Rattus norvegicus: one gene and its partners. The protein of the gene in region 7 purifies or fractionates together with the protein of the main gene of each other region. This does not show direct contact. Links are inferred from orthologs where the notes say so. Each region holds a gene or a part of one and is shown on either strand. Other genes may lie near its edges. The genes, in order: Gcc2, Strn3, Strip1, Fbxw11, Cttnbp2, Cttnbp2nl and Zranb1.

The links.
Region 1: the proteins of Zranb1 (region 7) and Gcc2 purify together in Homo sapiens (affinity purification with mass spectrometry; 3 studies listed by BioGRID and IntAct, with this or other methods). This does not show direct contact. The link is inferred for Rattus norvegicus from reciprocal best matches to the Homo sapiens genes ZRANB1 and GCC2.
Region 2: the proteins of Zranb1 (region 7) and Strn3 purify together in Homo sapiens (affinity purification with mass spectrometry; 4 studies listed by BioGRID and IntAct, with this or other methods). This does not show direct contact. The link is inferred for Rattus norvegicus from reciprocal best matches to the Homo sapiens genes ZRANB1 and STRN3.
Region 3: the proteins of Zranb1 (region 7) and Strip1 purify together in Homo sapiens (affinity purification with mass spectrometry; 4 studies listed by BioGRID and IntAct, with this or other methods). This does not show direct contact. The link is inferred for Rattus norvegicus from reciprocal best matches to the Homo sapiens genes ZRANB1 and STRIP1.
Region 4: the proteins of Zranb1 (region 7) and Fbxw11 purify together in Homo sapiens (affinity purification with mass spectrometry; 3 studies listed by BioGRID and IntAct, with this or other methods). This does not show direct contact. The link is inferred for Rattus norvegicus from reciprocal best matches to the Homo sapiens genes ZRANB1 and FBXW11.
Region 5: the proteins of Zranb1 (region 7) and Cttnbp2 purify together in Homo sapiens (affinity purification with mass spectrometry; 3 studies listed by BioGRID and IntAct, with this or other methods). This does not show direct contact. The link is inferred for Rattus norvegicus from reciprocal best matches to the Homo sapiens genes ZRANB1 and CTTNBP2.
Region 6: the proteins of Zranb1 (region 7) and Cttnbp2nl purify together in Homo sapiens (affinity purification with mass spectrometry; 4 studies listed by BioGRID and IntAct, with this or other methods). This does not show direct contact. The link is inferred for Rattus norvegicus from reciprocal best matches to the Homo sapiens genes ZRANB1 and CTTNBP2NL.

What each region holds. Positions count from the first base shown.
Region 1 is NC_086038.1:26,821,582-26,825,081, reverse strand, and holds part of Gcc2 (GRIP and coiled-coil domain-containing protein 2), read right to left. Parts: intron 2,778-3,500; coding exon 2,560-2,777; intron 903-2,559; coding exon 708-902; intron 1-707. UniProt on the Homo sapiens protein: Golgin which probably tethers transport vesicles to the trans-Golgi network (TGN) and regulates vesicular transport between the endosomes and the Golgi.
Region 2 is NC_086024.1:74,827,974-74,831,473, forward strand, and holds part of Strn3 (striatin-3), read right to left. Parts: intron 2,457-3,500; coding exon 2,378-2,456; intron 758-2,377; coding exon 584-757; intron 1-583. UniProt on the Homo sapiens protein: Calmodulin-binding scaffolding protein which is the center of the striatin-interacting phosphatase and kinase (STRIPAK) complexes.
Region 3 is NC_086020.1:197,946,516-197,950,015, forward strand, and holds part of Strip1 (striatin-interacting protein 1), read right to left. Parts: intron 2,921-3,500; coding exon 2,814-2,920; intron 2,704-2,813; coding exon 2,576-2,703; intron 1-2,575. UniProt on the Homo sapiens protein: Plays a role in the regulation of cell morphology and cytoskeletal organization. Required in the cortical actin filament dynamics and cell shape. Part of the striatin-interacting phosphatase and kinase (STRIPAK) complexes.
Region 4 is NC_086028.1:17,735,891-17,739,996, forward strand, and holds the start of Fbxw11 (F-box/WD repeat-containing protein 11), read left to right. Parts: upstream 1-1,306; 5' UTR 1,307-1,450; coding exon 1,451-1,495; intron 1,496-4,106.
Region 5 is NC_086022.1:47,836,541-47,840,040, forward strand, and holds part of Cttnbp2 (cortactin-binding protein 2), read right to left. Parts: intron 1,709-3,500; coding exon of another isoform or gene 1,669-1,708; intron 288-1,668; coding exon 84-287; intron 1-83. UniProt on the Homo sapiens protein: Regulates the dendritic spine distribution of CTTN/cortactin in hippocampal neurons, and thus controls dendritic spinogenesis and dendritic spine maintenance.
Region 6 is NC_086020.1:195,240,104-195,244,306, reverse strand, and holds the start of Cttnbp2nl (CTTNBP2 N-terminal-like protein), read left to right. Parts: upstream 1-1,403; 5' UTR 1,404-1,437; intron 1,438-2,102; exon of another isoform or gene 2,103-2,239; intron 2,240-4,203. UniProt on the Homo sapiens protein: Regulates lamellipodial actin dynamics in a CTTN-dependent manner. Associates with core striatin-interacting phosphatase and kinase (STRIPAK) complex to form CTTNBP2NL-STRIPAK complexes.
Region 7 is NC_086019.1:197,153,939-197,158,233, reverse strand, and holds the start of Zranb1 (zinc finger RANBP2-type containing 1), read right to left. Parts: upstream 2,801-4,295; 5' UTR 2,667-2,800; intron 1-2,666. UniProt on the Homo sapiens protein: Ubiquitin thioesterase, which specifically hydrolyzes 'Lys-29'-linked and 'Lys-33'-linked diubiquitin. Also cleaves 'Lys-63'-linked chains, but with 40-fold less efficiency compared to 'Lys-29'-linked ones.

The DNA of each region.
Region 1 (3,500 bases), on a different chromosome or scaffold from region 7:
GACCTTGGGCTGAAACTGTAAACTAAGACTAATTTCTCTTAAGTCACCTTTCTCAAGGATTTTGTTACAGTATCTGAATGGTGGCTAACACAATAGTCAGTATAAATGTGGTCTCAGAGCATCCTCTTGAATTCTGACAGTAATATTCATTACAGGTAAGAACAAAAAGGATACCAAAATTATACTGTATTTATCACAGTAAATTTGCCAATATTTCACTGTTTAAGGAGTAAACGGAAACTTAAGTTTCTTGGTGGGTAAAGGAACAGTTCATTTGCTTTCTAATAACATTGAAGACTTCTTTATGACTTCTAATGACTTCATCCTTTATCCTTTACTTCTGGCTCAGGCCTATACTTATGTTAATGTGTTATTTATTTATTTATTTATTCATTCATTCATTCATTCATTCATTCATTCATTCATTCATTCATTCAGCCCAAGGGTTTCTCTGACTGTCCTGGAACTCACTCTGTAGATTCAACGCACCTGCCTCTGTCTCCCAAGTGATGGGATTAAAGGTGTGCTCTCTACCACTTCCTGGCTACGTTTTTAGTTTTTAATTTAAAGAGATCTGTTTCACTCTGTAGTATCTTTCACTGGAATAGCTCGAAACAACATAAAAATCAGCGTAGTATTTATCAAACAAGCCAGCAAAAGTAAAAACAAAACGAACCAAGAACCATCATTCACACGAGGTGACCTACCAAGCTTGCTGTCAGGAGAGCTAAGGAGCTGCTCCAAGGACTGAATGTGTGTGCCGGCCGAAGACACAGACTCACTGTCAGTTGTCTCCATCCCTTCCCCCTCCTCTCGGGTCACAGTGTGCATGTCCAGAAGGGGGAGGTCTGTGGTCCGTCTTTCTCGGAGGCTTTTTGAAGGTTGATGGGAAGAAGCAGGGCCTAGTAAATATTTTAAAGGGTGAGTGAAATTGTTAAAAACAAATGGACTTGACCCCAGCATTTCTTTAATAAAGTTAAAGAAATTAAACAAGCAGCAAGTAAACAAATGGTATCTGAAGAAAGGATGCTACGTGGTTGGACTCGTTTAGTCACTTGACACTGAGCTGTGCCAATCATCCTACAGAAAGGATACACATTGCTATTTGCTGCCTATGATGAACAGTGGGCTGATGCTTACTCTGCTAACACCCATCCTTTCCACACGCTGCAGTGGGCCGACACTGCTGTCCTTTCTGCCATCTTGGCTGGTACTTAGTGCTGTCTGCTTACATCTCCAGTGTCCAGATTACAGAGCCCAGCACTCAGTGTAGGGAACCGTCAGTTACCATAGAACTCCTGGGCACGTGCCTTTAATCCTAACATTTGGTTGACATAGTGAGTCCCAGGCAAGCCAGGGCTACATAGTATGATTTATCTCAAAAAAGGATTTCTTGCTTGCTTATGACAAACACTTTTACAAACCTGTGAAGTTCGTAAGACTTCCAAAGACTTGATGAGGAATTGACTCTATGGAAGGTCTCATAGCTTAATCCAGAGTTTAAGTTTCAAAGTTCATTTATTTTCAATACTATCTTTCAATAACTGTCACCCCAGTCCTTTTAACCTCTGGCTGCCCATTTGGAGCATTTCCCTGAGTTTCTGACATTTTTACCAACTGCTTATTACACTGCTGATTCCTAATTACGACCCTCTTTGTTCAGCCCAGTTTTCTTTGGCTGATCATTTCCTTTTAAACTCTTGGTGCAAGTTAAATAAATTCTCCTAAGGTCAGTTTTTGACCTTGTTAAGTGGCCTGTGCCTGCCAATGCTCCAGGACATTTTTTTTTTCTATGGGAAATGAAGTGCCATGAACATAGGACTAAAACATCACTGTCATAACTCATGTTCTCTTGGCTTTTTCTGGAAGCAGAATAGAAGACATTGGGTGAAGCGACAATTCCACTTCACTAAAATCTGAGGGAAGAGGATGTACTGGCAAAAGACTGGACAAGCACAGTTCATAAGTCCTTAGCTCTGCCCAAAGCTTCCAACCAAGAACACATGTGTTTGAGGTAGAGTAATAGATGATAGGATTAGAACTCACGCTGTTAGACTGATAGGAGCATGTTTAAGCCAAACAAAACATAAATACACAGTTAGGAACATCAGTAGTCTAAGGCAATGCTTAGTATAAGTATAATCAAGAAGGGTTTACATGACTCACGTTTATGTCCAATAAGGAAATCAATAATTTATTAATCACAGAATCGACACAGGTTGTTTCCTTTAAATTTTACGTGTTTTTAATTATTACTATTATTATTTTTATTTTGGGTCTCGGTATTTTGCATGTATGTCTGTGGACTGTGTGCAGGCAGTGCCATCAGAGGTTGGAAGAGGGCATTGGATTGATTCCCTGTGACTGGAGTTACAGATGGATGTGAACCACCCAGTGGGTGCTGGGGATCAAACCCAGGTCCTCCGGAATGGTAGCAAGTACTCTTGACCACTGATCCATTCAACATTTTACTTTCTCATCAATTTGTGAGTGATGGTTTTATGTGATACACACATGTCGTAACATAAAGAGGTAATCCTTCCACACAGATGCACATACTTTTTGTGGGTGGCTCACTCTTGAGCTGGAAGAGCTGAGTTTCCACCTTGGAGAGCTGGTGCTGCAAGGTCTCCACTGTCTTTCTGTGCTCATCCTGCAAGTGTCGAACTTGGTCTCGGAAGCTGTTACGGAGGGCCTCATTCTGGGATGTCAGCTGACACATTGTCTGGGCGTGTTCAGACTTCAACATGGTGTTCTCAGATTGAGCTGAACATAACCTGAAGATAAGAAGAGCTAAATTCATATGACAGACTTGAACTAAGCTTGTTGAAGCAGCCTCCATGAGTTGGATTCTCTGGTTCAGTCCCCAGCACCATAGACACTGGACCCATTGGTATATCCTTATAATCTCAGCACAGAGGGGTGGAGGCAGGAGGATCAGAAGGTCACCCTCATCTACATAGAGTAAGACTAGCCTGGGAGACAGAAAGCCTTGTTAAACATTTAAACACACACACACACACACACACACACACACACACACACACACACACACACACACACACACACTATTCTATTTCTTCATATGTTTTTATGTAGGCAGCTCATATATGATCAATCTACCTATTTCATACTACCTTGAACATATGAAAAAAGATACTATTCATAATTAGAGTCCAAAGGAAAATATCGATTTTTGAGTGAATTAGCATGAAACACGCAGGTGCAAAGACCTGACTTATTACAGCTACTTCTAACTGTGATAGCACATCAGATTTGCTGGTTTATCTTGTAAAACAGTGACACCTACTTTTCATACTCTAGCTGCTGACTCTGTAATAGTGGTCCTGGAAATTGGCTACTGACAGCAGTTCTCCACTCGGGTTTGACACAGACAGTTAGCAGACCTACACTTTGGGAGCAACTACTTATATTAATTTAAGTTTATTCTTTTTATTATTACTGTATGTGAGTGAATGATGGGTGTGTGATGGGCAAAC
Region 2 (3,500 bases), on a different chromosome or scaffold from region 7:
CTGTCTAACTCCCAAACCCAGAAACGTCTTGAAGACTGCTCCCCTGTGGAGACTGTCCCTTACCAAAACTAGCTAATCCTGATTCAGTTGCACAACATGAACCCCTGCTTCCTTGTTCAGTTTTCCATAACACACACACTAAGCCTCCTGGGTGCTGCCCTTCTCCATCAGAGAGTCCAGGAAGCCATCCCAGTTTCCCTGTGTGTATGTGTCCAATGTCTGTCATTTCTTCATTCCCTTCCCACATCTAGTTAGGATTCTGGGACCCAAGAGGTACCAATCCATTTTATAAATTTTTTATGTAGCAAAAAAAAAAAAAAAAATGTCTTTAATCTGTTAAAATGTTTTCAAGTATTTCAAAACTACTCAGGTAACAGGTAATAACCATAATCTATTTTCCTAAACCTAATAATTTAAGTTTCTCTAATAAACAAAGTGGCTTCCATAGATTCATTTAATATCTAACAATAAATACAACTATAGAAAAGCTAGCAAAAGTGAGACTCTATGAAAAGTCTCTGTTGTACCACTGATTTTGATGTCCATAAGTTAAACGATGTTAATCAACAAATACAAATCATACCTTTTGATTTCTTGTCCTTTTTGTTTAGGAGATTCACCACCATTCAGGATCTGTTCTAAATTCTTTGCTTCTATGGATCCATTTGGCTCTGAATTAGACAGTCCAAGTAATGACCTTACCCGCTGAGATCGTACATCTAATATTGTATCTGTATATCCTACTTCCTGAAGATACCTATCAAGATAAAATTAAACACTAAAACTCAACAGACTGTCAACATCTGCCACCTTCAAATCATATTAAAGTTCACAATCACACAAATTATTCTTCGTCTCAATAACTTCATTATAGCCTAATTCCAGCTAATGATGTCAACTTTTAAGTCAAAATTGAAATATGGGTGCTAGGGATATTATTCACATGGTTTACAGCCATCCATAACTCACATTCCAGGATAGCTTATACCCTCCTCTGACTTATGTGGACACCCAGCATGCATACATCCAGACAAAATTCATGTACATAAAACAATCTTTTTGAAAAATGGATTAAGGCAGGTGTGGTGGCACACACCTCTGATCCCAGTACTCAGGATATGGAGGCCAGCCTAATCTACAGGTGTTCCAGGATAACCAGGGCTACACAGAGGATCCCTATCTTGAAAAAGCAGAAAGAAAGAAAGAAAGAAAGAAAGAAAGAAAGAAAGAAAGAAAGAGAGAGAGAGAGAGAGAGAGAGAGAGAGAGAGAGAGAGAAAGGGGAGGGGAGGAGAGGGGGGAGCATATAGTATGACTAACTGACATTGATTGAACCAATTATCTCAATACCTAAAAGAGCCTCAGTGTTGAAAAGCTTTTGAGATACATACACATGTGACATGCCTCTATACAGACATACATAAATATCTTTTAAAGAGTAGATATATAAATTTATACACACACACACACACACACACACACACACACACACACGGAGAAATGAAAAGATACTCATATGCAGAATAAAATAATTTCAACTAAAAGGATTTGGCAAGCCATCTTTAAAGAGTTTCAAATATCAATACTTCTCTATACCTCTCATACAAACACATGTGTGTAAACTTCGTAGTGAGAGTGTATGTACTACATGAATGACTATTTTTATGTTGCAGGTACTTTCCCTACATTTATGAAAGTATACAGGGCACACAGTACCTAGATTAAGATGACCAATAGAGGTCAGATAAGGGCACCGAATCCCCTGGAACTGGAGTTACAGATGTCTGTGAGCCACAATGTAGATGCTAAGAATCAAAACTGGAATGTCTGCAAGAGCAGCCAATGCTTTTAAATGCAGCCCAACTCCATATAAGCCATACTACTTCAGTTGAAGTCGTCATCCAGTTTTTGGTTTTTTTTGTTTTTTTTTTTTTCAGTTTTTCTACCACATAAGAAATAGGAGAGGAGAGGAGAGGAGAGGAGAGGAGAGGAGAGGAGAGGAGAGGAGAGGAGAGGAGAGGAGAGCGGGGCAAGGCAAGGACAAGAGAAGAGAAGGAGAGGAGAGGAGGCAAGAAAATAGTAGAAAGAAGTCAATGTCATCCTTCAGTAACAGCTGAGTGTATAAAGTGACCTATAGCCAAGCCTGATGACCGGGATCTAATCCCTGTGTCCCAAAGGTGAAAAGAGAGTCAATGCTGAAAGCTGCCCTCTCATCTCCACAAGCAGCTGTGGCTCATGCCTGTGCCCATGCCCACATAGATACAAATGTATTTTTAAAAGCAGCACTATGAAGTCATACAGTAAAATAATGTTTCTACGTATAAGTCGATTCAATGTAAGCACTTTCATAACTCCTTCTTAGCTGAAATCATTACTCACTGTCTTAACAGCTGTCTGCCTTGCTTCCACGTCAGCTGGCTGTTTTGGGCTGGAGGAGCCTCCGCATCTTTGGTTTCCTCTGCAAGTTAAAGAGGGCAAGTTTTGCACACGTTATTTCAACTTCTTATTAGAGTTCAGGGATTTTTTCAAAAATAAATTCACACATGAAAATATTTTATGTAAGACAGGAAAAAAGTTAAAGATTTACTATAGATCATTTCTTCTTTAATGTTTGGGCCATAACTTGGGTACTCTACCTGCTTTAAAATCAAAAGACCTCAGATGTGTTTTAGCAAGATCAAAAAACTGAAAGTCTGGATTTGAAAATAGAATTCTGCTGTGTCAAATACCTTTAAGATTAAAAAAAAAAAAATATCATCACTTATGCTATTTCAAATAACCAGAAACTGAGGATGGACAGACAGATAGACAGACACACGAGAGAGTGAGAGAGAGTGAGAGAGAGAGAGAGAGAGAGAGAGAGAGAGAGAGAGAGAGAGAGACTGACTGAGACTTCATTTTGAGAAAAATTTTTTTTCTTTTTATTTTCTTTTTTTCGGAGCTGGGGACCGAATCCAGGGCCTTGCGCTTACTAGGCAAGCGCTCTACCACTGAGCTAAATCCCCAACCCCTCATTTTGAAAATTTTATCAGTGATATTAAAGCCTCTATCATACTTTATTTTTTAGAACAAAAGATTCAGCTAGGAAACCAGGCTGCTGAATAGTGTCTAACTCCGATCACTGTGGTGGGCACACAGCTGGTGGAAAGAGCCTTTTCTTAGGTCCTAGTGCAGTTAATTTGCAGCCAGCCAAGCAGCCACTCATTCTTGGGACATTCAGACATCAGTCTGCAGATCTGTTGGGCCTCAGTTTTCCGTAAACCCAGTATGTTGTCAACATCTCCAAACGGAGTCCTAATCAAGTCCGTAAGTGTAAAGTAAGTAGCTCATTCTACTTAGCTGCAGTCAAAGGTTATCTGTTTAAAGAGCCTAGAGGAGACACTTAGAACCCGAGTCAGAGACAGACTTTTGGAAGACATCCGAAAGTGAATAGTTGCCTCCTCACTCCACTGATCCTTTATAGTTTATAGCTTAGAAATAAATACCTTTTATACACACAAAA
Region 3 (3,500 bases), on a different chromosome or scaffold from region 7:
AGTAGAGCCAGTTCTTTCCAAGGTCAGCAGATTAATGCTTCAAAACCACACATGTCAATCTTCCAATGACTGAAACACACTGTGCACAGCTCAGATAAAATGATAAATTAAAACAAAATAGAAAGCTGTCCAAAGCCCTCACAGAGGCCCAGGCTCTGGCTGCTCAGTGCCACTGACCCCAAGTAACTTAGCCTTCCTCTCAGCCTGAGTGGGGCTTCCTGAGGAACCAGCAGGTCTGGTCAAGATAAAGCTTATACACACATTACGAGGTCTTAAACTCACTAAGCTCTGGTGGCAGAGCATCCTGGAGAGAGGGCTTCTTGCTTGCCCAGGGCTTGGTTTCTGACAATGTCCCCATCCTAAGTGTGATGGCCAGTCCACCCAGTATCCATCCTCTCCCCAGGTGGAAACAGAGTCCATTTCACAACATATCCTCGGAAACACACAACCTAGAGGCTCACTCTTGCTTCCTTTAAAAGACATCTTGGTGGGTGGAGAGAGAGTTCGGATGTTCAAGGCTAGGCACATAATACAGAAGTCATCTGCCCAGTAGATTTTCATTGCCCCAAACCACTTAACAAATACAGGTTTGGGAGTGGTCTCCAAAGAGGCATCTTGTCTGAGGGTGAAGTTCTTGTATGACTGAGAAAACAGCTTTAAGAAAAGCTAGGGAGTCAATCTAGTGTCACCTGAAGGCCTGCACCAACCCCCAGGTTGTTTAGAGAAGGGGTCTTATTACCATGGAGCCTTTGCTGGCCTCAGACTCAGCGATCTGCCTGCCTCAGCCTCCTCAGACTCAGCGATCCGCCTGCCTCAGCCTCCTGAGTGCTGAGACTCAAGGTGTGGACCACCATGTCCTATATTTCTTTTTCATCTCTTTCCTGGAATTTTTTTTTTAAATTTATTTATTATTATGTTTATATGAGTACACTGTAGCTGTCTTCAGACACACCAGAAGAGGGCAACAGATCCCATTACAGATAGTTGTGAGCCACCATGTGGTTGCTGGGAATTGAACTCAGAACCTCTGGAAGAGCAGTCAGTGCTCTTAACCGCTGAGCCATATCTCCAGCCCCTGGAATTTTTTTTTTTAAACTGAGTCAGGCAGCAGATACTGACAAGGCTGAGGCAGGAATACTTCAAGTGTAAGGCCAGACCTTCTGTCAAAATAAAAAGTAAACAACTGAGAATGGCTCCATGGGTAATAGCACTTGTTTGCAAAAGATGAATGAGGATATGAGGTTGAATCCCCAGTGTTCATGTAAAAAGCCAGACAGCTGCATGTGAGATTGTAACCCCAACAGAGGTGGTAGAAACAGTAACACTTCTGGGGGCAGCACTGCTTGCTGGATACCAGCCTAGAACCAGGTTCCATTAGAGACCCTGTCCCATGGGAATACAACCAAGAATGAGAGAGCTGGATAGAGCAGGAAAGTGATGTCGCCTCTGGTCTCTGCACAAGGGTGTATGCAGCCATACAAGTGTGTGCATATACCACACACACATATATATACAAGTGTGTGCATATATCACACATAAATACACAAGTGTGTGCATATACCACACACATATATATACAAGTGTGTGCATATACCACACACACATATATATACAAGTGTGTGCATATACCACACATAAATATACAAGTGTATGCACATACCACACATATATACACAAGTGTGTGCATATACCACACACACATATATACACAAGTGTGTGCATATACCACACATAAATATACAAGTGTGTGCATATACCACACATAAATATACAAGTGTGTGCAATACCACACATAAATACACAAGTGTGTGCATATACCACACACACACATATATATATATACAAGTGTGTGTATATACCACACATATACCAAATATACATATACAAATAAAAAGTCAAAAAGAGTGCCAATGGGTGAGCTGGAGAGATGGCTCAGCAACTGGCTGTTCTTCCAGAGGACCTGAGTTCAATTCCCAGCAACCACATAGCAGCTCACACCTATGTGTAACTCCACGGGATCTGGTATCTTCACACAGAAAACACTAGTACATATAAAATAAAATAAATAAAACAAAACAAAGCGCTCCAGTGATGTAGCTCAGTGAAGTCTGATTGCCTAGCATGCACAGCAAGGTCCTGGGTTCAGTCTGAAGCGCCACTAAACATTTCTAAAACCAAGTAGCTACATATTCAGTACTCAAAAGAAATGTAGACATTCATTCATCATCACCCACGGGAGACTGGCTCTGGGAATTTCCCCTCACCTCTCTCCCATGGTAGATAGCACATCCCTCATTTGATGGAATGGTACTTGTGTTTAACCTATGCACAACCTTCTGCAAGCGTGAATCATCCCTAGATTATTTCTAATACCTAGTGGTACATGAATTATTGGTATAGTAGTTAGGGAGTAATAACAAGGTCCTTACAGTCAAGACCAATGCTGCAAAACTCATTCTACAACCTCAGACTATAACTCATGGATGTGAATCTACAGGTACAGAGGCCAACTGTATAAAGAGTCTCTTTCCCGCCCAGTGTCCTAGCATCCGAGTGCCCCCAAGAGGGTGCTCACCAATACAGTCTTCCAGAGCAGCAAGAGAACTTTCTTCATGGGGAAGTGGGGGGCATGGCCACTGCAAAACTTGGTCACCATCCCAAATAGCATGATGGCAAATGGCTCGTTGTTGTACAGAGGGGAACCTGGAAGTGACTCAAAGGTATTAGGACCCCAAGCAGCAACAGGACCCACCCAAAGCCCTTCGGACTCAGCTCCCAAGCAAGGCCTTAAGGGAGGAGCCCCAGGGTCCTACCCAGCTCAGCTCTGAAGGTCTGTCGCATCGTTCTCCACTCGGCCTTGTCACCATCGCAATCCTGGTGAACAGTCTCCACAATCAGGTACATGATGTTCAGCAGGACCCTGAGCACAAGAACCAGCTTGTGAGAGTAAGACGGGGACCAAGGGCATGCCTGTTACACCAGGTCTTAGAAAGCTGAGGCAGGAGGGTCTCGAGTTTCAGGTCAGCCTGGGCTACATAGTGAGCTCAAAGCTAGCCTAGGTCATGTATGAAGACAGTCTCAAACAAAGAAAAATGTGAGGGAGGAGCCCTTGGGCTTTCTAACTCCCTGACTTAGATGTAAACATCTGTGCATGGGGTAGGGATAGCTGTAATACAGAGACACCCGAGAAAAGAAATCACACCCGAAACCCTGAAGAGCAGAGGAGTATTTTAATCTTTCTTCCCAGACTATAACTCATTCTATTCTCTCAGCGTCTAAAAGGAGCTTACTCAAAGCTGACAAATATGAACAAGAATGGCCTAAAGAACTCACTGCCATAAGCCTCAGGGAAAGAAAAACAAAACAACATTACTTAAGAGTAAGTTACTAAGGTCAAAGCAGGGCAGGATTACAGAAAGGAAGACAGAGCCGACCAGATAGAGTGGAAAACAGGAGGTGAAATGCAGAGACCCTGACTAGAGTGAGGAGAACCACAGTTC
Region 4 (4,106 bases), on a different chromosome or scaffold from region 7:
TGAGCCAGGCCCTCGAGATACACGATAATAGCCAGAGCTTGGTTTCTACAGCCAGATCTCCAGTAAAACATAAACAACTTCACAGACCATTAACATTAGACAAGGCCACAGAACGGCCTTATCTTATGGATCAAGACAAAAACAAGACCACTCCATAATTACTCGTGAACACAGATAAAACATGAACATTGTCTAAGCCCCTGACACACGGCTACAAGAGGCTGTCATCAATTACTGGATTAGTTTCAATCTAATATAACTTCCCATAGATAAGGTGTCCAACCTTATTACCCCCACTTCCTGGCAGTATGCGCTCCAGAGCCCCTTCAAATCCTTTTCTACATTACCTAATGTCTCTTACTGAGACGTCCATGATTCATCGTGGTGCATGTTCTCTTCTAGTTCAGCTAAAATAAACCCACCTTGTTTAACTACAGCGTATTCCTGGGGGTTTTTGGTTTGAGGGTACTGACAACTTGGAGGGCACACAGAGTTAAGAGGAAGAGTTCACTGGAAGTCTCTAGATGTGTTTCTTCACAGCATTTCTAACTCTTGGTGAATGTCTGCTGTCTTCCCATTAGAATTAAGCTTCACGAGAACAGAGGTCTCGCCTGTCATTTCCAGAGCTTAGGGCAGTACTAGTAGCAACGGAATGCTTAAAAATGTCTTCAAAATGATCAGCTTCTTTCTCATGGCTCAGCTACTTCCAGTGTAGCAGCTCTCCATACATCTGTTTCCCAACTCAAGCCTCCAAACTTTTCCTCTTGAGATGTCCATCTTCCCTTGGTTGGATCTTCGGGCTCACAGACCCCTCCCACACCTCCTGGTGCAACCTCGGACCCACCTGTCTCCACCATCTGTCCCTACCAAGTGTAATACACCGGGCGGCCGCGCAAGCACCTAGACGACCAGTGGGCACTGCAGACAACTACTGCGCATGTGCGGAAATCGGTCGCACCGCAAAGATCTCAGACAAGTGAGGAGTTGCCTCGGAGTTTCCGTCCGGGTCCGGGCAGCCACCCGCTGCCAGGAAGTCTGGAACGACCAACCGGAAGGAGACCGCGCGCGCGAGGATTTCTGGGACAAGTAGTCGCGGCGCTCGCGAGGCCCTATCCCGAGCAAGTCCTAGATACTCCAGATCTGCATGTCCCCGCACTCCCAGCCCTGCCCTCCCCTAGGTGCTCTCTCCCGTGGCGGAACCCTGGCAGAGTGGCCCGACGGCTTCTTGTTCCCATAAGGCTTAGCGATCCGCCGCGGTTGTTGGGAGTTGTAGTCTTCGCCGTGCGTCCTGCGTCCGCCGAGGGGGAGGGCGGAGCTGCCGGCGGCCCGGGCGGGCTGGCAGCTAGAGTGGGTGCCAGAGCTGCCTCCGCCGCCGCCGCTGCCACCGCCTCCTCCGCCCGGGCCGTTCGCTGCTGAGCGGAGAGAGCGAGGCGGGGCCGCCGGGGCCGCCATGGAGCCCGACTCGGTGATTGAAGACAAGACCATCGAGCTCATGGTGAGTGCGGCCCGCTGGCCTTCAGTTCTTCCGGCCGGCCGGCGGCCCGGGGGCCTGCCCACCTCGGCGTCCGCGCCAGGCCAGCCCTCGTTCCCCGTCGCCTGGGCCCGGCCGGCCCCCTGCTACGGCTCGCTGCTGACGCCTCGCGCTCTTGGGCCGGCCCGGCCTCCGCTCCCCGCGAACTCCCCCACCCCCTCCCCGCTCCTTGCCGGGCTCCGACCAGTCTCGGGCGCCCCTGCCTCGCTCCTGCCGGAGCCACCGCTCACTCTCGCCTTGCCATCACACTGTCTTTTTAGAAGGGGATTTCTTTTTCCCTTCCCTGGATTCCTCTGCCAGGCCTGCATCGCGCTTCCCAGCCCCGCTCAAGCCGAGGGTGATGGTGGTGGGAGGTTGTCCGAGACCAGTTGGAGCCGCTTCGGCCTCCGTAACCTAGGCTTAGGGGGTGGGGTGGCGGTGGGTCTCAGCACCCTCACCCCAAGCTACCGCTGTGTGGATGCCAGGATAGGCCCTTCAGGACTGGGATGTTGGGCATGCCCACGAGTCTGAGGCTGTAGGGGATAAGGGGCCTCTTTTCCGAGCCCCTGCGGTGTCAGGCTTCTTGGACAAAGGGTTTCCTACCCTGCCGTGAAGGATGTTTGTATAGCAGGGCCCTAGGTACTCAGAATTCCATCCCCCAGAAAAGGAAAACCATAACTTTATCATTTGGGAAATGAGAGGGGAGGGAGAAGAGGTCGCCTTCATCACTGCCACCCTCTTTTCTTTTAATAATAAAAAGCGGGACGGTGTGTGTGTGGGGGTGTTCTTGACCCACCGAGAAGCAGCGATCCCTTTACTGTTAGAAACCCTTGGTAGCCAGGTTGGTCAGGTCTTCCCGGACACCCCTAACCCATTTCTGACCTCAGACTTGGTGCTAGAAAGGTTTTTGGAAACAGGGCTGTGAGTGAATGGCTGGGAAAGTGAAGGATTTGCTTATTGGTGGAAGAAATAAAGTATGGCTGGTAGTACCTGCCAGTTTGAACGTGAGGGAAATCAAACTGGGCCCAGGAGAGTTGGGGACATAAGAAAGGCTTCTTCCTGTGAAAACCTTGACAGTTTCTTTGTATCTCTACTAATATCGTAACAACTAGTATCTGCCGCACAGTACTGAGGAAAGGTGAACGATCTACTGAACTTAGCAATGTGTTTTCCTCGTCAGAGTTTCTCCAGTGTGAAATGCTTATTGAGTCAGTGATTCCACTGGGTAGGGTTGGTGACATCAGAGCCACTTCCCCCATTTAGTGCTATAAATAATAAATGGTGATACTGAAAGTCTGTTGGATAGCCCATGGTTTTTGTGGATGATGTTGTCCAGGGAGCTAAGGTACACGTTTAAAATGGAAGTAATAGTAGCATAACTACAGAGTCTCATGTCTGCTGGACTCAGCACAATGTGCAGAACTGGATGGTTGAAAAATCAAACCTGGAAGTTTCTGGGGTGTGTGTGTGTGTGTGTGTGTGTGTGTGTGTGTGTGTGTGTTCACAGGGATTCTGTCACTTTATCTTCAGGTTCTGAGGACCTTTTTTCTTTTTCAGCATCCAATTGTCGGTTGTAACAGTTTGGGAAACTTTAGTAGTCCGTTATTTTGACAAAATGTCTTTAAAACGTGCCTTATGTATTAATGTGAATTCACACGTGCACCACAGTGGGCCTGTGGAGGTCAGAGGACCATGTTGTAAAGATTCTCTTCTGCTTTTACCTGGGTTCTGGGACTTGAACTCATTTCGTTCTGCATGTATGATCACGTGTCTTTGGTTGAGCCATCCTGATGACCTCTTTTTTGGCAAAGTGTCAAAGTATCTTCATGTATGAAGATACATGTTCCATCTTCTTAAAGACAAAACAGTATATCTGCTTTCATAATGACCAGTGCTTCATATGAAACATATTCACTTAAAACAACCAAAATGTCTTCTTTTTCAGGAGAGTTAGAAGAAATACAGTGTAATTAACCTCAGGCATGGTCTTTTAGCATATGACTAAAGAAATATTCTGGCCCACACTTACTGGTTTTCTAAGCTTATAACTGTTTTGTTTTGAGTAACTGTTAAGGTGCTGGGGTGCACCTTAGTGGTAGAGCACATGCTTCCTTAGTGTCCATAAAATCCTCATGGCTGGGTTAGACTGTGTGATATTGTTTGCCCTTACATTGAAGAGATGTCACCTAATGAAGACATAAAAGGGATTTAATGTAGGATTCTTAGAAATGTAATAAAAAAATGTGCCAGGCATGGTGGCACATGCTTTTAATCCCAGTTCTCAGGAAGCAGAGACAGGTGAATCTCTGTGAGTTAGTCAGCCTGGTCTACAAAGTGAGTTCCAGGACAACCAGAACTACACAGAGAAACCCTGTCTCTCAAAACCTAAACAAATAAATGAAATCCCCCAAACCAACCAAAACAAAGACCAAACAAACAAAAAAACCACAACCAACCAAAAGTCAGTCTCAAACCCCCTAAAGATTGTAGTGCCGAGGCCTGCATTGCTGGATCTGATTTACTGTCTATGCGTATGGCTCGTTGCTTGAGTCATTTATAAGGTGTGCAGCTACAGTTTTTCCAAATCGTTGGTACC
Region 5 (3,500 bases), on a different chromosome or scaffold from region 7:
CTTTGGTCTTTCATCCTCTTGCCAAGTGTGTTAAGGTAAGGCATTGTCAGTCTGTTCAGTTTTGGTTTGTTTTGTCTTTTTACCTGTATGTCCATTCTTAGCAGCAGAATACAAGGCAGAATGGCTATCTTCACAGCAGTAATTTATGTCCAGTCCTTCTTCATTAAGCAGCATTGATAATAGAGTGACATTTCCCTGGGCAGCAGCTTGCTGAAGAAGGGTGGGCCTGCCAGCCAGGGGGGCAGGACCACCACTCATTAGCAAAGGGGTTAGGGAGGGTGACCAGCCTGTAGGTTAAAGTGACCCTAGTTAGACAGCAGGAAGAAGAGACAGAAACTACCATTCTTTTTTCAATCACACACACAGAGACAGGAACACGTATTTCTAGAAGATTACATGGTTTCTAACATTATCAATCTGTTAATACTGTCTTAGCATAAATCCGTACTGTTATTTTCAGACTTTCTATCTGGTGCTAATTAAATTAACCTTGATGGGGGGGCATGTTATTTTTAGTCGTCAGTTTGGCACAAGAAAAAAGAGTTAAAGAAATAATTGCTTTTAGGAGGCCGAGACGGCTACCACATTCCACAAACTTAAATTTCTATTTAGAATTTAAGATCATTTTGAATTTTAAGATTATATAAAGGTTACCTTAATTTCAATACTGATATGGCAATGTAAATTAAGTAAGTGTGAGATACCACCATAACTGCAAAGAGTTTCTTCAACAATGCTTCTAAGATAATTATTTGTATAAACCAGGAAATAGGCCTCACTCTATCAAGGAGTTTGTCCTATTCCTTCATTTCAAATCTAAGAAACAAATATGGGTGTTAAAAGCTGACAGAAATACAATATATATAAATGGCTGTATTGTACGACAGAACATAGTTCAGTAACTCTGAAAACTTTGAAAACGGCCACCTCTCGCCATCTTCACTGCAGGACTAACAAACTTGAGATTGGCCAACAAAGCAGGGTGCTCTACCACACAGCTTTAAACAAAGATTGCAAGATGATCATGGTTAGTTTTCTCATCAGTATTTAGCAGTTTTAGAAGAGAATCTGTTAAGAGTGTGAAGTCGGCTGCATATAGCCTGGAAAATTTTCTGAATCCTTCCTTGATCAAAAGGCTGTAAAAACAGTAAAGTACACATGTTTATTTAATTGATAATTATGTCCTTTCGGGTTAAATACATTGAGTGAGCCCCAGTACTTTTCAGCAGTTCTGTACATAACTACACATATATATTCTTCATGCAGACTTTCCATGGGGAATAGCTATATAGCTATCAGTATCAGTTACACTAATATGAATGTAATATTCAATTCTTATGATTAATCACAAGTTTTTGGCTTTACTTCTTTCAGGATATATTTAAAGTACATATCAAAGAAACTCCTCTGAATATTGAAAATTCTTTATAAAAATAAGTCAGAGAGGCCATTTATGCCAATAGAAATCCATGGAAGATTGAATCTCAAAATTATATCTTTACAACTAATAATTTGAATCCACGGATTACTTATTGTTTTATCATATCAGGACAGCAATGACAGACAATTAAAATGTTTATAAAATTCAATATTTCTCAAATCTTTATATTTTCCCATCCATATTGATTAGGTCTTCTTAGAAAAGTAGTATTTTTACTTCATACTTACAAGAAGGCTCCTCTCTGGTACATTTTACCTTTTGTATTTTCTTAAAAACAAACAAACAAAAAAAACAGGCCCACAAAAATTAAATCAGTACTTATTAGAAATGGATGATAGACAGAAAATTATAAACACCAAGGTAGGACACCTTGACTGTAATTAACAAGCAATAAGAAAGCATTACACTACCGTCCCCAGCAGAACAGGGATGGGGGGGTCTGCTTCATGCTATAAACACACACACATACATACTCATGTACACACACACTCATACACACATACATACCTGTACACATGCATACACACACTCATGCACCCACGCAAACATCTGCGCGCGCGTGCACACACACACACACATACACACACACACACACCGCACTCATGCACACAGGCACACATGTACATGCACACATGCATACACACACGCACATCTGTACACATGCGTGCACACACACTCATCTCTTCTTTACATCTCATTCAAGGAATCTAGGTTCTTGACAGTCTTCCATGAATACCAATGTGTACATACTAAAGTTTGCTCATCTTTTAGTTTAAACCACAGTTCTAGGCTTTGTAAGAGACAATACAAATTCACATTTCCAATTGTTTTATATGGGTTTATATGGAAATATTCAATTATGTGTATAATTTTCTGGAAGACCCCACTTGAGAGCAGTAAAAGGCTTTATTCAAAAATGTTATTAATCATAAGGTCATGAAGTGTTGTTGCTTTTCCAGTCAGATTCAAAGAAAGCAGTATCAGTTTCTTTGGAGGACTGAAAAAAAATGGTCTCTAAATCTTCACAAAAGAAAACGTTTTGAAAATATTGTAAACTTTAAGCTCTTAAATTTAAACAAATGTTATTTTTTTACTATAATTTCCAGTTTTCTCCCAATACAATTTATTTTAAGAACTCCTGTTACTTATATGTTGGAATTAAAAGAAAGACCTCACTAAACATTAGTATTCATCTGAAATTCTCAGCCATGAGAGAAATGGTAATATGTGATTAACTGGATTAGTTAAGGACAGAATAAACCCGAGTCCACACAGCTACTCTACAGGTGTTAGAAAGTCATTCGGCTACACGGCATTGTAGGCAAACGCTAGTAAAGGTGAGGATTTGCATAGCAGGCCACAAAACATGGGGACATGCAAGGGCAGAGGAAAAGGAGCTGAGAACAGCTTCTGGCACCAGCTTCAGAGGGTGGAGAGGGTTAAGGTCACAGCCCAGACCATTCTGATTTTGCGATTTAGCATTCAAGCCAATCATACACGAGTATACTTTAGAAAATATCTTTAAGGAAGGAAAAAAGTCTGAACCAAATGAAATGGAATTCATAAAATAAATAATAGTAATAAAATAAATAATATCAACAAGAAAAACAATCACAAAGAAGAAAGAGAGGAAGGAAGGAAGGAAGGAAGGAAGGAAGGAAGGAAGGAAGGAAGGAAGGGAAACAGAAAAATTTGCAAAGGTTTGGGGATTCAGTTGCCTGGAGTGATTCCTATTTTAACCTTCTTCATGTAACCATTGGAATATATCATATATAATATATAAATATATGTGTATATTATACATTATATATTATATATTCATTTGACAAATTGGTAAGAATTTCTAATTCATTTACAATTTAAAACACTATTTTAAGAGTTCATGATTTGTTATGAGGTCACCTCTGGTTAGCGTACTTTAGAACGCAACCCATTAAAATGAGACCCCTCTGCCACTCCGGCTTTTCACTGGGATTTCACCTCACTGTTACAGACAGAGGTGGCAGGGACACAGGGCATCTCAAGAGAAAGATCCCAGGTTCCAGGGCAAAGAGGAATA
Region 6 (4,203 bases), on a different chromosome or scaffold from region 7:
ATAATCACTCACGGTGATGTCCACTATACAGGGTATGACAGCACTGACACGGATATTATATGGATGAACATAACACTGTGTTGACAGGAAATACTGTTTTACTTCCTCTAAACCATGATTACTCAGGCTGGGCATCTCTCTACCCAGACTGTAAACTGCACCTGTCTCGAGGACTGTGTTTGCCTAGGGCAGTGGTTCTCAACCTTCCTAGTGCTGCTGTCCTTTAATATAGTTTCTCACGTTGTGGTGCTCAACCATAATTTCGCTGCTACTCACAGCTGTAATTTTGCTGTTATAAATTGTAATGTAGGTATTTTTTTTTTTTTACAGATAAAGGTTATCCGAGGGGTTGTAACCCACAGGTTGAGAACCACAGGCAGAGAGAGTATTAAATTCCTAATATTCTCCTGCTGATAATTGTGAGGATTAGGAATAATGTATTCAGAGTAGCATGTTACTTGTGCACTTAAATACTTGTTTTCTTACATGTACTTGTTACAAATTCTTTAAAACAATGTGGTCAATCACTTGTGAGCTGAAGTGCAGGCTACGGTAGAGTGCGTTCTCTTCCCTCCAGGTTATCCGGTCTTGTTTTTATCACTAAGATCTGCATTCCTGTGTTCACAAGGACAGTCATTCCCCCTCATCCAACTGTTTTGTTTTGGCTTCGTTAAAAACGCATTCCCCACAGTATGACGGGGCCCAAACATATAAAAGAGGGCCCCACATTCATGAAAGGCAAGCACAGTGTGGGAAAACTGCGCGTAAGTTTGCAATTATTTGGCTTCGCCCTGAAAGGAAGGTCGGCAGGGGTTATGCCCTCCTCTACCGGGTGCTGTCCTGTCTGTTCAACCCCAGAGTCTCCCTTTGTGTACCCAGTGTGATGTGTTAAAGGAGATGGTCTTGTGCCCTTGCTTTCCAGCACCACACCCAAAAGTCAGTGCAGAGAGAGAGAGAGAGAGAGAGAAAGTGAGAGAAGCAAAGAAGACACGTTACTAGGTTTTCAATAACTAATTCTAAAACAAACGCTAAAACTCACTTCTTTTATTCACATTTTGGATAAACCCCAAATTAAGCCACCAAAAGGTGTTCTCAGGATCCTGAAAAGTTGCAGAGCCCAGGCGGAGAGCAGAGCGAACCCAGACTCCAGCCGACCAGAGGTGGTACTTCCTCCCGGAAGTGACGCCAGCTCAATCCCAGCCTGGCTCTCCCAAACAAAAGGGATCTTGCAGCCCCAGGAGGAGCCGGGATGACTTTGGAGAAGCCCAGCCTTCAGGCGGCGAGGATTGGTTGCAGAGCCGCAAGGGCAAGACTATAATTGGCTATGGTATCTGCCGGTCACTGCCGGCGGATGAGGGGGCGGGTCCTGGGAGGCTGGGGATGGGGAGCGGGCGGCGGAGGCGGCGGCGGGGAAGGATCCCGGAGCGCCGAGGCCAGGTACGGAGCGCGGGGTCCGGGCTCTGCGGTGCTGGGTGGCCGGGTCTCCGAGAGAGCCTCCCGGCCCGGAGCGTGTATGGCTTTCAGCAGCAGTCCCTGTCGGGGTAGGGATGGTCCCTTAGGGGGCGGGGCCGCCGCCTCCAGATCCCGGGATTCCCCGAGGAGGCGTCGCGGCATCCTCCAGGGTCCTCGCGACTGTTCATTGTCTCTCGCCAGCCTCCGCCCTTTAGCAGGGGTCTCCCCCTGACCTGTCTCACTCCATGTCGCCTTTTGCCCAGCCCTAGCCTCGGAGAGGGACTGGTGGGTGCAGTTTCTAAGCTGCAGCCCCCACCCCTATATTGGACCCCCGCAAGTCCAGGCATCCCTTCCCACACCTGCCCCTGCTGGCAAGTCTGGGTCCAGAACTAGGGTGCTGTATAAGATCTAAAAAAAAAAAAAACAGCGTTGTTCTTATGAGGGATGGGCGAGGAGGAGGGAAAAAAAAGACGAGACCCAGACAGACACCTCCAACAGTCAGAGCGGCCTTCTCCCCTCTTTAGCTCTTCCCATCCCCCAGCCTCTGATTGCTCCTACGGTCCCCCCAGATCCTGTGTTGTCTTGTTGAGTGTTGAGAGCTCCCCGGCTTAAATCATGTATTACCTTCTTCCCTTCGCCCTTTGTACCTTCCTCGCCCTTTATTTTTCTTGTGGGAGAAGCCAGCTTTTGGGGGATTTTTAGGTTTGAGTTGCCTTTCAGTTTTGCTTTCTACCCGGTTTCTTCCCTGAGAACTTAATAGGAAAGCATCCGCATATTTCATAGCAAGGTGGGTGTGTTAGCTTTCAGCAGAGTTAGCCTTGTGTGGGTAGGAATGCAGTGTGTATTGTTTGACAGTCAGTTATTAATACCATATTTTCAAATGAAACGGTGTGGAGAAGTCAGTAAATGCCTTTGCAGTAGGAATCCCCATCTCTCAGTTTGTAGTGGGCTGGTCCGTTGCTCCGGGAGACTGCAGTTAACCTTGAAGGTGTACGGCAGGTTGAAACAAAAGACAGGAAGTATTTGAACAAAATTCAGGTTCAGTTGGCTAGGTTTATAATTAATCTGGTCCTGTGGCCTCTGAGTACTATCTCACCCCTGTTTTATAATGAGATTTTATCTCAAAGAAAACGTATCTACATGTGATATGATTCTGTCTGGCGTGCCCGCATCATCAACCAAAATTTAAAGCATTAAAATAAAAGGTAGTTTTCAATTTCAGAACAAGAGCCTTGTTGACTGTCCCGATGTTAATGTCATCGAATCTCTAACCATCAGCTGTGGCTAGCAGTACCACCTATTAATTTTTCTATATTTTTGGCATTTTAAATTTTGATCCCGAGTTCATTTTACTGTTGGTTATTTATAGCCGACAGATGTGAGGTGCAGAGTTGCAGTCACAGAGGGCGATTGTAGTGGCTGTTGTCTGTAGCCTTCCTGAGTAGACTTCCTGAAGGTAATTAGTTTTGAATAGTCAGGTTCCAGAGCCACTCTAGGGCTCTGTGATTGTTTCCAGACACCTAGAGAAAGGAAGCACAAAGAAGAAACTGTATACAGGGTCTCTCCTGCAAACACAAAGTTTATTGCCATAGGAAGGAGAGATCCATTATCCCAGAAATAGCATCAGGGGTTTAAAAAAAAAAACTAGAAGTAGAATAGGAAACCCCCAAAAGATGTATCTTATTACATGAGTGGAGAACAGGAAATAAATCCAGGTAGGAGACGTCGGGAAACCTAAGGAGTAGTGATTTCCAGGGCCCTGACAAACAGAGGAAAAGCAGAATAAAGCCACTGATGTTTTGGCACAATAAACAAGAGCTGCTTAATATACCTTTGATCTGGAGGGCTGGTTTTGTTTTGTTTCATCAAGAGTGCTACTGTGTCTCCTTATGCTTCTGAAAACTGTGTAGCCCAGGATGGCTTCCCCTCCTGTTGGGATTACAGCGTGTACTATGATGTTCAACTCTGATAGAATTCTTTCCGATAACCTTTTCACTGTCATTTTTGGTCATGTTAAATGAAAAAAGCATTGTGTGCAGACAGTTTGTGTGTGTGGGTTTAGTGCATTTCATTAAATTATTCTTTGACTGCAAAAAGTTCTTGTAGCTTCCACGGTGCCTAATAGGAACACTGAATTTAGTTTAAAGCTCTCACATAAGAGTCAAACAAGACAGATAACAAACTGATAAAGTATGGCACATCTTGTTAAACCATCCGCCTTCTTGTCTTTGTGTAATTTGATTTTTCCTTATCTGACATGATAGGAAATTGCAATATCTGAAGTGGCTAAAATATTGACTTTCCTATGAGAAAATATCTCTGGATAGGTTTTATATATATATATATGTTTACTGTCATGAATTCTGAGCCAGATATATATGTATAAGAATCTGACCTAGTGGAGGTGGGGTGAGTTCTGGAGAACACTCTAGGAACTGTTGGTTAATTTTTATTGTAATTTCTGAGTATTTGATTTGACCCTAGTGTGCCGGCTAGTTTTATGTCAACTTCATACACGCTAGAGGCATCTGGGAAGAGGGAAACTTCAGTTGAGAAAATGTCCCTATCTGATTGGCCCATGGGCAAGCCAGTAGGGCGTGTTCTTGATTAGTGGTGGTTGTTGAGAGTGCCCAGCCCACTCTGGGCGGTGCTCCCCTTAGGCTTGGGCCTGAGTGCTATAAGAAAGCTGGCTGAGCAAGCCAGTAAGTGGTGTTCCTGATCCTCCATGGCTTCCGCCTCATTTTCTCAGTC
Region 7 (4,295 bases):
TTCTCAGGGCCTTAAAAATACAGTTGGGAAACAGAAGTCATAAAAAGAAATCTACGCTACCAGAGACTAAGGAAAAAAAGGTGGAAAGTATCATGCAAAAGAGCAAATACATCCCTCCAAGTTAAGTTCTCAAAGGGGTGCTTCGGAGATTGCACTTAACTTGATGTACAGTAAAAAGGGGTAAAATAAATAAAGGCCAAGAGGGGGACTATACAGAAACAACTTAAGTTTAGCTGGCCTGAGCTTCACATAGTGAAGAATTAAGATTAAAGTATATATATCAAGATCAACTACTGAGAAATTTGAACACGAAAAGGAGTTTGACTTTTTTTTCATTTCTGTAAGTTTATATATTGTGGTAAGAAGTGAACGTGCTGGTGTTGTTTTTTGGGTTTCTTTTTTTTGGGGGGGGTGGTGTTTTGTTTTTTGAATTAGTGTTTCTCTGTGTAGCCCTGGCTGTCCTGGAACTCACTCTGTAAACCACAATGGCCTTGAACTCAAAGATCCACCAGCCTTGGCCTCCTGAGTGCTGGAAATAATGGTATGAACCACCACTGCCCTTCAGAGGTGTCAGTGTACTTAAATACAGAAAATATACCTAAGGTATAAAGAGACACAAACATTCCAAATAAACCACTACAAACTGGAAGAAAAAGTGTTCAAACAAGAAGGTATTTCTAAGGAAGAGGAGAAGCCATAGCAATGCTCAAATAAAACCAAACCAAGTTATATAAAAAGTTAACACCCTACTTTTGCAACTACTTTTAAGTTTTTTGTTTTTGTTTTTGTTTTTTTTTTTTTGGTTCTTTTTTTCGGAGCTGGGGACCGAACCCAGGGCCTTGCGCTTCCTAGGCAAGCGCTCTACCACTGAGCTAAATCCCCAACCCCCTACTTTTAAGTTTTAACTGATTTTTATAAAAGCAGTATAAATATAAAGTACAAGTAACAGCTCTCACTGTATCAATTACACATAAATCAATTTACCTTAAACATTGTACAACTGAACTAATGTTAATGCTCAGACTTCATTTATTTATGGTTTTGGGGGAACAGGGTTTCTCTGTGTAACCTTGACTCTCAAGAAACTCGCTCTGTAGACCAGTATAGCCTAGAACTCAGAGACCTCTGCCACCTGAGTGCTGGGATTAAAGGCATTCACTACCTTGCCCGGCCTAATCCTCAGACTTAAAATTGATATGCCACAACCCCTATCAGTACACATATATGGATCAAGGCCATTAGTTTAAAATATATTACCATGAATTGTAAGTTCATCTACTACCTCAAGCACATTTCAAGAGTAAATAAATGGGTGCCGCAATGCTCAGCAGCACTAATAAAAGGTTGTTAAAACAACCAGTAAAAATCTTCCAGAGCATTCAAGTAACATCCTCCTCAGAAAAAGTAAAATGCCTCATTATTGTCCTGCCTCTTAACCCCTCACAGGCCAAAAAAAAAATTTACAAAAATTTACAAAATTTACAAAAAGTTACAAAAATTTAAAGAGACTATTTTAAGAGCCCCAAAATCAAAAGAGCAAACTTCTAAATATACTTTTGAATTACCGAATTACCTCATTTAATTAAAATAATATTTAACAGGTTCCAGCTTTACTTTTCCCAAGCATAGTTCAGCCGACTTTCTAATAGCTTCTGTCACAAAGATCCTCGGGTCTCCCCTGTCTTCTCTATGTAAACAAAGTCACCCATGTTTGTTCAACCGAGGTACCATGCATGTAGCAAAAGTTAATAAGGGATTAACTGAGAGACCGCGGGGTACAGGAGCCACTCATTATATAACATTTCCAAGTATTTGCACATCACGTTTATTAACATCATCACAGGTCAACTATAGAGACCAAACATTACGAGCAGTGGGAGGGACTTATAACAGTGACTTAGGGGGTAACCGAAGGGGGAAATCGAGGGGCTGAGATACAAAATTCTAAGCAAGGTGGTTTCAAAACACCAGTGTCTCCAAGATAATGGGCGGGTTCAAACTTCCTGCATAACCTAAACTGCCTCTCCCCGGCGCTAATATCAAGTATTACAGCTCTTTTGTCTGTGCAATGACCGGCCAAATTTGAGCAGAAAAACAAAACAAAACAACAAAAACCACAAGGTAGTTGCACAGAGCGATCGTTACCAGGAGCGGAGTTCCAGCTGCCCATGGCCACAAGACATCAACTCTCACCCTGATTTGCTTTAGGCAACTACGGAGAGGCAAGTATGAGGCGGAGAGAAAGTGGACAAGGGACCAAAACACAAGTTTGGAGATCAGCACCAACTTAGAGCGACGAATTCGGGTGTATACGGCCTACTGAGAAGTGGGAATAAGACCCACACACTCGGACTCGGGAGGAATTCTAGTCGCCGGAATGAGGCGGGCAGAAGGGCAGAATGAGGCTGCCAGCCAGACAGCCGACGGCGGCCAAATCAGATCGGTAAACAAGCCGGGCGGGCTACTCTCCCTCATCCCCCGGGTTGTCCCCGCGCCGGAAAGCCCAAGATGGACGCGCGGCCGCGGACAACCCCGGGCCTGCGATGCGCTATCCCGCAACGCTGCTGCCCGGAGGCTCGGCAGCCTGCGCCCCGCGACGCCCCGTCAGGCCGCGGTCGACCCGCGAGGGGCCTGCGGCGCGGCGCCCCCAACCCAGGCCCGGTTACCTGGCGGCCGCGACTCCTCCTCCTCCCCGTCTGACGCGCGGCGCCGGGCGGCCGCGGCGGCGGCGGCGACTCCCGCACGGCCCGCGGCGACGAGCCGAGCCCGGCCCCTCTCCGCCTCCCTCGGCGCCGCCGCCCACCCCGCTGCTGCCGCCTCCGCCCTCCCGCCTCAGTCAGGACATGTTCTCCGCGGGCCCGCGCGCGGCTCCCAGCGGCCCGAGGGGCGGAGAGGCGGCGCGGAGGCGGGGGCCGAGGCTCGGGGACAGGGGCGGAGCAGACTGAGGATGGCCTCGGGCGCTGAAGACTCCGAATGGCGGCGGTCAAGACCCTAGAGCTAAATAAACCCCGCGGCGGCTGCACAACGTCAGGAACTGGACCTTGCTGCTCACCGTCCTGTGATTGGTCCCGAGGCCTCAGGAGGCGCAGCCAATAGGTGATCGCCTCTTTCCCGGAGCAGGAGGCGGGCCGAGGCCGTGATGTCAGCAGCATGCGTCCTGATTGTGAGGCTAGAGCCCGCGCGGTCCTGCCACGCATCCTCCCGGGTGGCGAGTTTCCTCAAATAAAAGTGCAGGATACGCCTGGAAGGTAGGAGTCGGGTTTCCGGGACCGCCGTGGGCTCTTACAGCTGAGTCCCCAGAGCTTTGAACTAGCGCGAGTCTTGCGTCTCAGGAATGAGCTGTTTGCTAACTGGGATGCTGCTTGGCGGTTCCTTAGGACATTTAAAACCTTTTTTAAATTTCCATAATTTAACACAGGCTTTCATTCTGTGGCTCAGGCTGGCCTGGAACTCTTAAATGATCTTCTTGCCTCAGCCTCCCCAAGAGCGCTGAGATTACAAGCCCTGCTTACTTTGCTTTTTACTTGTTTTCAGACGAGGTTCTCTTGTAGCCCAGTTTATTTCTAATCCTTCTAAGTAGCTGAGAGCCTCAGCCTCCAGAATGCCGGACTTAAAAGTATGCCACCACTACACTTGGTTTCAACTACCATTTATTTTTATAGTGAAGTTGCCAAGCTTGACAGCCCGAGTTCCATCCCCAGTACCTACATAGTGGAAGAAGAGAACTAACTCCCACAGTTGTTCTCTGAGCTACACACAAAAGAAATAAATTAATTAATTAAAAAAAACGAAAGAATATGGGGGCTGGAGAAACAGCCAACATATAAGAGTACTTCCAGCTCTCGCAAAGACCCAGAGTTGAGTTCAGTTCCCAGCAGCCACTTCAGTGGAGTACAGTAATCTGTAACTCCAGCTACGGGGATTCAGTGCCCTTTTGTGGCCTCTACCAGCACCCACACTCACTTGTATTGAAATGTTTTTCAAAAACTCGTCCCTGTCGCCCACCCACTCAAGGCCTAAACCTGACTTTCAGCCTGTACAAGTTAACTCTTACATGACCCATGTACTGGGAAGTTTGTGTTCCAGGAACTCGGAGGTGCCATGAAATCAGATAGCTGTACTCCAAGCGTGTAAACAACGTCCTCCACCCTGAACCCAGAGTTCCGAGAAAAGCCACAAAGAACATCTGTGTGACCCCAGATATCCCTTTTGCCCGCTCAAAACTTGCTTAAGTTTGAATAAGCGCGAGGACCAATCATGTATCACCCCGCCATCCTTTTCCGGTTCCTCAACCA